2 linked regions of the Oryctolagus cuniculus genome follow. The main gene of each other region encodes a partner of the protein of the gene in region 2 in a complex. Links are inferred from orthologs where the notes say so. Each region holds a gene or a part of one and is shown on either strand. Other genes may lie near its edges. The genes, in order: MMAA and MMUT.

Region 1 (4,560 bases), on a different chromosome or scaffold from region 2:
CAAAGCCAGGAGCTTCTTCTGGGTTTCCCACATGTGTGTAGGAGCCCAAGAACTTGGGCCATCTTCCACTGCTTTCCCAGGCCATAGCAGAGACTGGATCAGAAGTGAAGCAGCTAGGACTCAAACTGGCACCTATATGAAATGCTGGCACTGCAGGCCAAGGCTTAACCCACTCTGCCACAGTGCTGGCCCCAAGGTAGGTCTTTTTAAAATATCATTTTCCTTTAGTTGAAGCAATACTTGTTCACTATAGATTTGTAAAGTACCAGATAAACTAAGTACCTGTACTAACCTCTGCTGATTAAGTTGTCTTTTTGAACTAAGGGATTAGAACATCCTGGCGCAGACTGCACAAGCCGTAGATGACACAGGTCTGGAGGTTACCGTGTCCATCTCCCCCAGCGTAGAGAGGATGGCTCGTTCCTTCTGCGTTTCTGCGCACCAGTCCTGTGCCAGGCATGGTGGTCAGTGATAAACTCGGCCTGCCCGTTACGGGAGAGGCAGACAAGCAGTGATGCCAGCGAGGGGCACAGAGGGGTACACAGCCTCACCCCCGGGGGCAGGAGAAGCCTTCTCAGGGCAGTACCTCAGATGGAAGTCTTGTTTCGCCAACCAGGTGTTAACCTGCAAGGGAGGGATGGGGGGTGGGAGTGTGTACCAGGCAGAAAATACAGAGGCACGAGTGCGAGAACCAGGTCCATTTGGGATCACCAAGAATTCAGTGTAGGTGGACTAGCTGGAATATACAGGCAGTAGCTGTCGGTGGAGCCTTTAGCCCAAGTGCTACGTAAGAGAAGGGAGGGGTGGGAAGGGAGCAGTCGTTAAGGATCGTGTGTATGTCCTGATACGGAGTGGGGTAATCCCCCTAGCATCTTAGCTCTTACATGGTGGACGGCGGAGGTCACTCAAGGGTCACACACAGCAGAGCCCAGGAGAGAAACTGACTGTGGAGGAAGCAGAAACGGAACAGGAAGGAGCTAACCCAGCCTGAGGAGTCACAGAGGTCAAGGGAAGGGTTTCAGCGAGGAAGCTTGTCACCGTGACCAGTATGCGACAGAGAAGAGCTTCAGAAAGGGTTTATTTAAGCTGAGCAATTCGGAAGTCTGATGACTGCAGGAGTGTTCCGGGGTGGTGCAAGAAGCCAAATTATAAGCGTTCAGAATTCTATGGGGTGCACGTCAGTGGAGCAAAGAGTATTTTCATCCCTGAAGTTTACTGGTGAGGAGGACAGAGAAAAGAGATGGTGGCTGGAGACACGAGCAGATGCAAGGAACCCCTGTGTCAGAAGCAGGAGCTGTGTGCGTGCATCGCTGGCGGGAGAGGCTGACGAAGAACGCAGAGTTTGGAGCAGTTGGAGCGCCCTTATAGGATGCTGACGCCACAGGCAGCGGCTTAACCCACCACACCACAGCGCCGGTTCCCGGAGTGGTTTTTTAAGGCTGTGGTCCCCAAAGAGCGTGCTGTAACGAAGCCTACGACCTGCGGTTTCCAAGCTCCGGGACACAAACATCTTGTGCACAGATCCGGAAGCTCAGCCTCAGCAACTGCGAGATCATAATCAGTTCAAGGCTGAAGCCGACACAGTGATGGAGAGGCGGCGCCTCCTGCACGGCAGAGTTTGGGAGCGACTCCTCTAGGGACCACTTCGCGAAGAGCTGATGATTTGGAGATTCCTCTCTTGATCCAAAAAACGGTGAGTCAAACAACACAGCTTTATCCCTCAACATAGCCTACGTTTAAAGAGGGAAAAAGAAGATGTTGAGGAGCTCCTTGTTACTCTCTGGGGCTGCACACTTGTGAGGACAAGAGAGAGGACATTGTCTTCTTCCCGTGGCCTTCACCCATGGACACTGGAGCGCAGCCGCAGCCATCTAGACCTTATTTTCATCCCATGGACAGACTGAGTGACAGGCTGATTTTTAGATATTTACGAGAGAGAGAGAGAAAGCACTGCCAGCCACTGGTTCACTCCCCCACACACCTGCAGTGGCTCCGACTGAAGCTGGGAGCCAGGTCTCGCGCATGAGTGGCAGGAACCCGACTACTTGAGCCATCACGGCTGCCTCCCAGGGTCTGCGTTACAGGCAGTTGGCGGCAGGGGGCAGAAGTGAGAATGGAACCCAGGCTCTCCAGTGTGGAATACAGGAGTCTTAGCAGCAGGGCTAACCACTGGCCCTGGATGTAGAACTATGCTGCGGAGGTGATGGGTAGCAGCGGGCACTTGGTTTAGGCAGACCTGTGTTTCAATGCCAGCTCCATCCCTTTCTAGCCGTGTCCTCTCAGGCAAGTGAATTAATGTTTTACCCTCACGGAGACATAATCGCCACCCTCTCATTGGTGGCTGTGCTGCTGTAGCGATGTACTGCATATTAAAACCTCGGCCCAGAGCCCTACACTAAGTGCTTTATAATGGTGGAAAGTGGTTTGCAGTGGTGACGCCAACCTACAGGGCTTCATAAAAACAGGCGTGCGAACACCAGCAGGTGGAGGTGGCGGGCCTTTGCCCTATCCTGGGGATGTAGTAGATGGTTTGCAATCCAAGAATCCCCACAACAATAATAAGCATAGTGGCAAAGAAAAGCAAGGGAAAAAAAAAAAAAAAGCTGTGCTTCGCCGAGCAGCATAGGGAGTGTTCATAAAACAGAGCTGTCAGTTTCCCTGGCGCGCTTTGCAAGGGTCCCAGCCAAGGGCTCTGGACCGAAGCAGACGGTGGGACTCCGCTGAAAGTTTGTGCGGTGTGCTAAGTGATGGCGCCTTCAGCCTGCTCGCCCACAATGATTTACATTTGCACGACTCTCCCCACCCCCACGCTATAGACTAGCTGCTTGTTGGGACATCTCTTACCCTCCCGGCTCCCGACATTGAGATGTCTTTATTCCTGATTTGATCCGGTTGTTCCACTTCTTGAGGGGATGCCACACCTGAGCTCAGACCTGTGACGCCGAGACTCCCACCATCGGCCTGCGAACGCGGGGGACCCCCAAGGACACCGGCCTCTCCTCCGCCTCATGCTCCCCTGTGCTCCAGGCCACCTGCGGGGCGGCTATGCCAGTAATCCTGCCGTCCACCAGGAATTTGCCGCCAGGGCACGCTTTCGCCACAGCACTGGCCCTTCCCATCTGTGGAGTTCCAATCCCGAATTCTTGTTTATCCCTTTGTAGGCAAGGATTATTTCAGGAGGGGTAATTTTACCTCCTCGGGGCAGGACACTGAGGTCGCTATTCTACTTCTGGAAGTGTAAGCTTCATAACTGGGTGAACTGGCAGCCACTCTGCCCTGGGCGTCTGCCTAAATACACAGCAGATTCTACCGTTACCAGTCACCATGTATTAATAACTCACTTGTATCTAGTAAAACCCATTAACTCATGGCCCTACCAGTCTTCCTCCCTCAGCCCCACACTCCCCTAAATATATTTAGAAACTTAAATTAGCAGAGGTCCTTTGGAGAGGGGGGAGACGGGAGAAGGCAAGTTAACGTTCACAGGATGTGTAATTCTCCTTCAGCATGAGGCATTAAACCTAACACCACTCAGATATGTCTTTGAAGCCAATCCTTCTGTGACAGTGCAACCCTTCACACTTTGAACCAGCGAGACTGCCCTCCCAATGAGCTGTGACACTGGTTGATCTATCTTTAAGGTGGGCGCGGCAGTTCTATAATTATCCCAGCCTGCCGCTTCCACGCCCCGGGAGACAGGGAGGAGAAGGAGGTAAGGGAGAGAGAAAAGGTTTTGTGTCAGAGACCCGTGACCCCCTGTCCCCATCTCTGGGTGATTTCTGGACAGTTCCCCGGATCTTCTGAGGCAAACTTTTCTCTGCAAAATGAGACGCATTCTCTTCCAAGATGTTGAAAGATGAGCAGCCACAATGAAGCGTTTATCACACCCGTGCCCTGGTTCAGGGCCTCATTAAAGTGGTTGCTGTGACTATGCTTGGTGAAGCTAGCAGCGTGATGTATTTTTTATTAATGCATGCCCACAGCAGTGCCCCCTTAGACACATTTTCACTTCCTCTGGTTTAAGTTACCCGAGGTCACCGTCAAAGAATTCCCAAGTTTGCAACTGTATGCCTTCTGAGTGTTGCGGTGATAACCTCATGCAGTCCTGAGCCATCTTGCCTGAGATCCCTTTGCCCACTGAGTACCTGCTGTATGCGCTACCTTCCAGTTGGTCGCTCAGTAACTGTCTGAGTTACCAGATCAGCCATGGCAGTACCACGGTGCCAGTGTTGGGGCAGCCTTTATCCTATTCAGTAAAGGCTTTAGTACAAGAGTCGTGATGCAGAGGAGGCACCTGGGCAGAAAAGGTGCCAGGACGCATTACCCCTGGCACTTGGTGAGCACACTGCAGGGCATGTAGAAATCCACCTGCAGGGATAGGGTTGGGGGCCATTGGCTCTCTTGGATCACACCCGCCGTGGAGAAGAGGGGGACTCTACTGTGTTTGGAAATTCACCATAACCGCTGTCATACTGAAAAACACCGATGCTGCACAGTGTGGGAGTTGTACCTCAAACAAGCTGCTCAAGTTTTGTTGTTGTTGTTTTTTTTAATTTGCAA
Region 2 (3,812 bases):
AAGTATAAAGTACTGTTTGGAGACAGTCCTACATGAGGAGTAAGTGCACATTGACACCTGTTGTTGATTTAACAATTGACACTGAGGCGCTTGTCATGAGCTGAGCAATTCATATATATTTTCCCTATGTTTCACACTTTGGGTCTTGTTAGCAGTGATCTCCTTCTCCTTACCTACCTTAAAGTTTGCCCAATACTTCATGGCAAAGAGAATATCTTTGCACCATCAAATCTTTTTTTATCTCTTGCCTTCTTTTAATTATTAACTCAGAACTCTTGCAAGCATTGGCTACACTCCACATTTAATATTTAGCCTTTACAACTTTGCAGTTTTATTTCATTTCATGTATTACATTTGTCCACATGAGCGTATTGAATAGAATTGTTTGTTTCTTATCACTTTTTTAGATTTCAAGAACATTTACACAGGAAGATTTTGTTTGGGAATATATGGCAAACACAAATAGCAGTTGCTCAAACTATTTAGAAGTTAATTATCTTTCTTTTAAAAAATCAGAGGGTAGGTTATGGGCTTGCTTATATGCTACCTCAACAGTTACCAGGGTTCCATCCTCCTTTTAACTTTCTTGTCCTCTCTTGTTAGAGTTTCAGCTCGTGCTTAAGGGAGAAGGTGGACCTCCTTGGTGGCAGAGAAGGACCCCACACCTCTAATTTAAAGGGGGCTTGCAGGAGGAACACCCAAAGTCTCATTTGTATCTCAGTGGACACACATAATATTAAGAGAAAATTGTACATGTAACTCTTAATACATTGGCCCTCTAAATTTATGGTTCCACTACTACAACAGGAGAGAGGAGAATGGTTATTGGAGTAGACTGTAGTAGTTTGTGCTGCTAAATACTTGGGTATTTCACTGTTTGAAAGATTCTGATGTCATAAACAAATTCATAATTGCTTTATATAATCCCTCATACATGTGATAACATACCAGCTTCAGAGGTAGACCACAAATGTTTTATTTATTTATTTATTTATTTAAAAGATTTATTTATTCATTTGAAAGTCAGAGTTACACAGAGAGAAGAGAGGCAGAGAGAGAGAGAGAGGTCTTCCATCTGCTGGTTTACTCACCAATTGGCTGCAATGGCCGGAGCGCTACACCGATCTGAAGCCAAGAGCCAGGAGCTTCTTCCAGGTCTAGCATGCGGTTACAAGGGCCCAAGGACTTGGGCCATCTTCTACTGTTTTCCCAGGCCATAGCAGAGAGCTGGATTGGAAGTGGAACATCCAGGTCTTGAACTGGCATACATATGGGATGCTGGTGCTTCAGGCCAGGGCGTTAACCCACTGTGCCACAGCGCCAGCCCCCACAAATGTTTTATTAAAGTACTTTGTATTTTTTAAATTTCTAATTGTGACAAAATGTATGTAACATAAAATTATCTAAAACATTTGGAAGTATACAGTTCAGTGGCATCAGGTACATTCACATTGTGGTGCAATCTTTGCCACCTTCTAACTCCAGAATTCTTAGATTTTTCTTCTTTTTTTTAAACATTTTTTTAAAATTTATTTATTTGAGAGATAGAGTTACAGACAGTGAGAGGGAGAGACAGAGAGAAAGGTCTTCCATCCGCTGGTTCACTCCCCAACTGGCCACAACTGCTGGAGCTGCACCAATCTGAAGCCAGGAGCCAGGAGCTTCTTCTGGGTCTCCCATGAGGGTGCAGGGGCCCAAGCACTTGGGCCATCTTCTACTGCTTTCCCAGGCCATAGCAGAGAGCTGGATGGGAAGAGGAGCAGCTGGGATTAGAACCAGCACCCATATGGGATGCTGGTGCCACAGGCAGAGGATTAACCTACTGCGCCACAGCCTCCGGCCCCTCTTTGATTTTTCAAAGCTGAAATCCTGTGCTTAGTAAGCAAGAACTCCCCCTTCACCTCTCTACCCTCAAGCTGCCACTGGCAACCACATTCTTTCTATAGCTCTGAATTTGACTACTCTGGTTTCCTCATATAAATGCAATCATATGATATTTGTCTTTTATGATAGTTTATTTTGCTTAATATAATATCCTCAAGGCTTATTCATGTTGTAGCATGTGTCAGGATTAATTTTTAAGGTTGAATAATACTTTAATACTTCAATGTTCTGCTGTTTCTACTATTCCTAAATTCTGCTAGTAGCCTCCTCTGCATAGAGAAGTACATGTTTCCTTGTTTCATATATGTAAACTCTAAACTGAGTCTTTCAATTCCATGCAATTCTATGCCCTCATTGATTTTATGATAGACTATTTTTAAAAAACTCTTCGTTAATTATAAATTAAATATTTGAAAATGTAAAATATATAATTATATTTTGGATATATGGTGTAAATCATATACTACATATGATAGGTCCATGTTTTCTGTGTATATGGTATATTTAATCCATACCATACATTAACAATGAAAACGACATTTTTTTGTTCCTTTCTATGTTAAAGCCCTGGGCTGCATTTTTTGGCATCCTATATGGGCACTGGTTAGAGTCCTGGCTGCTTCACTTCCAGTCCAGCACTCTGCTAATGTTCCTGGCAAAGCACTGGAGGATGGCCCTAGTACTTGGACCACCACACCCATGTGGGAGACCCTGAAGAAATTACTGTCTCCTGGCTTTGAATTGGCTCAGCTCTGGCCGTTGTAGCCATTTGGGGAGTGAACCAGCAGATGGAAGACCTCTCTCTGTCTGTACCTCTCTGTGTAACTCTGTCTTACAAATCTTTAACAACAACAACAACAACAACAAAGATATTTAGCTCTAATTCGTTTCCACTAGGAGAATAAGAGATATAAACTTGATGGATGGTTCATGGATCAATTGGTTCAGTTTGAGAGTGTGGGCCAACATTGTGGCCACCTGTTGTGATGCTGGCGTCCATATCAGAGTGCTGGTTCAAGTCCCAGATTCTTTACTTCCAATGGAGCCCTCTGCTAATGTGCCTGGGAGAGCAGCAGAAGATGGCCCAAGTGCTTGGGCCCCTGTCATCCTTGTGGGAGTTCCTGGTTCCTGGCATTGGCCTGGCCTAGCCTCAGCCCTGGACACTCATTTAAGGAGTGAAGGTCTCTTTCTCTCTGATACCCTGCCTTTTACATAAATAAATATATAAATAAATCTTTAAAAATAATAGATTGGAGAATAAATAAATGTAACAGATAAGCAGTAAATATTTTCAGATAGCATAAACTGAGAATATCAGAGTTGAACATGATTTTAAGATAATATTTGCTTTTAGAAAATTAATTTCATAGAATCTTTTAATATTTTTATTCATTGTTTTATTTTTGTTGTTTTATTTAGCACATGCCAAAATTCAATTCAATTTCAATTAGTGGATACCATATGCAGGAAGCAGGGGCTGATGCCATCCTGGAACTGGCCTATACAGTAGCAGATGGATTGGAGTACTGTAGAACTGGACTCCAAGCTGGCCTGACAATTGATGAATTTGCACCAAGGTAAGTAAAGCTGGGGTATTGTCTCACCATTAAGAAAATATACAGGACCATTTTATGAGTATACAGCAAAATATAGCTAAAATGAGTTTTTAAATATAAATGTCATGCTAGATTTAGATTATCTTACATTTTATCTGAGTAATAATGAGGGAATAAGCCATTATTTTTTTAAAGGTTTATTTAAATTTTTTTTTTTTGACAGGCAGAGTGGACAGTGAGAGAGAGAGAGAGAAAGGTCTTCCTTTTCTATTGGTTCACCCCTCAATGGCCGCTGTGGCCGACGCACCACGCTGATCCGAAGCCAGGAGCCAGGTGCTTCTCCTGGTCTCCCATGCAGGTGCAGGGCCCAAG

What was found.
Region 1: the proteins of MMUT (region 2) and MMAA are in contact, whole or in part, in a crystal structure (PDB 8GJU), measured with the Homo sapiens proteins. The link is inferred for Oryctolagus cuniculus from reciprocal best matches to the Homo sapiens genes MMUT and MMAA. Residues at the interface, in NP_000246.2 of Homo sapiens: Lys496, Glu609, Arg610, Glu611, Gly612, Arg613, Arg614, Arg616, Ala635, Thr636, Ala639, Asp640, Gly642, Phe643, Asp644, Val645, Asp646, Ile647, Gly648, Pro649, Leu650, Phe651, Gln652, Glu656, Gln659, Gln660, Val662, Asp663, Ala664, Asp665; in NP_001362573.1 of Homo sapiens: Arg98, Ala99, Ala102, Glu103, Thr106, Glu109, Ser110, Thr111, His112, Ser182, Ser186, Gly187, Gly188, Ser189, Leu190, Leu191, Lys194, Thr195, Met197, Thr198, Ser201, Arg202, Met204, Tyr207, Ile208, Arg209, Pro210, Ser211, Pro212, Arg214.

The regions. Positions count from the first base shown.
Region 1 is NC_091439.1:19,220,956-19,225,515, reverse strand, and holds the start of MMAA (methylmalonic aciduria type A homolog, mitochondrial), read left to right. Parts: upstream 1-1,553; 5' UTR 1,554-1,693; intron 1,694-4,560. UniProt on the Homo sapiens protein: GTPase, binds and hydrolyzes GTP. Involved in intracellular vitamin B12 metabolism, mediates the transport of cobalamin (Cbl) into mitochondria for the final steps of adenosylcobalamin (AdoCbl) synthesis.
Region 2 is NC_091436.1:120,796,874-120,800,685, forward strand, and holds part of MMUT (methylmalonyl-CoA mutase, mitochondrial), read left to right. Parts: intron 1-3,303; coding exon 3,304-3,461; intron 3,462-3,812. UniProt on the Homo sapiens protein: Catalyzes the reversible isomerization of methylmalonyl-CoA (MMCoA) (generated from branched-chain amino acid metabolism and degradation of dietary odd chain fatty acids and cholesterol) to succinyl-CoA (3-carboxypropionyl-CoA), a key intermediate of the tricarboxylic acid cycle.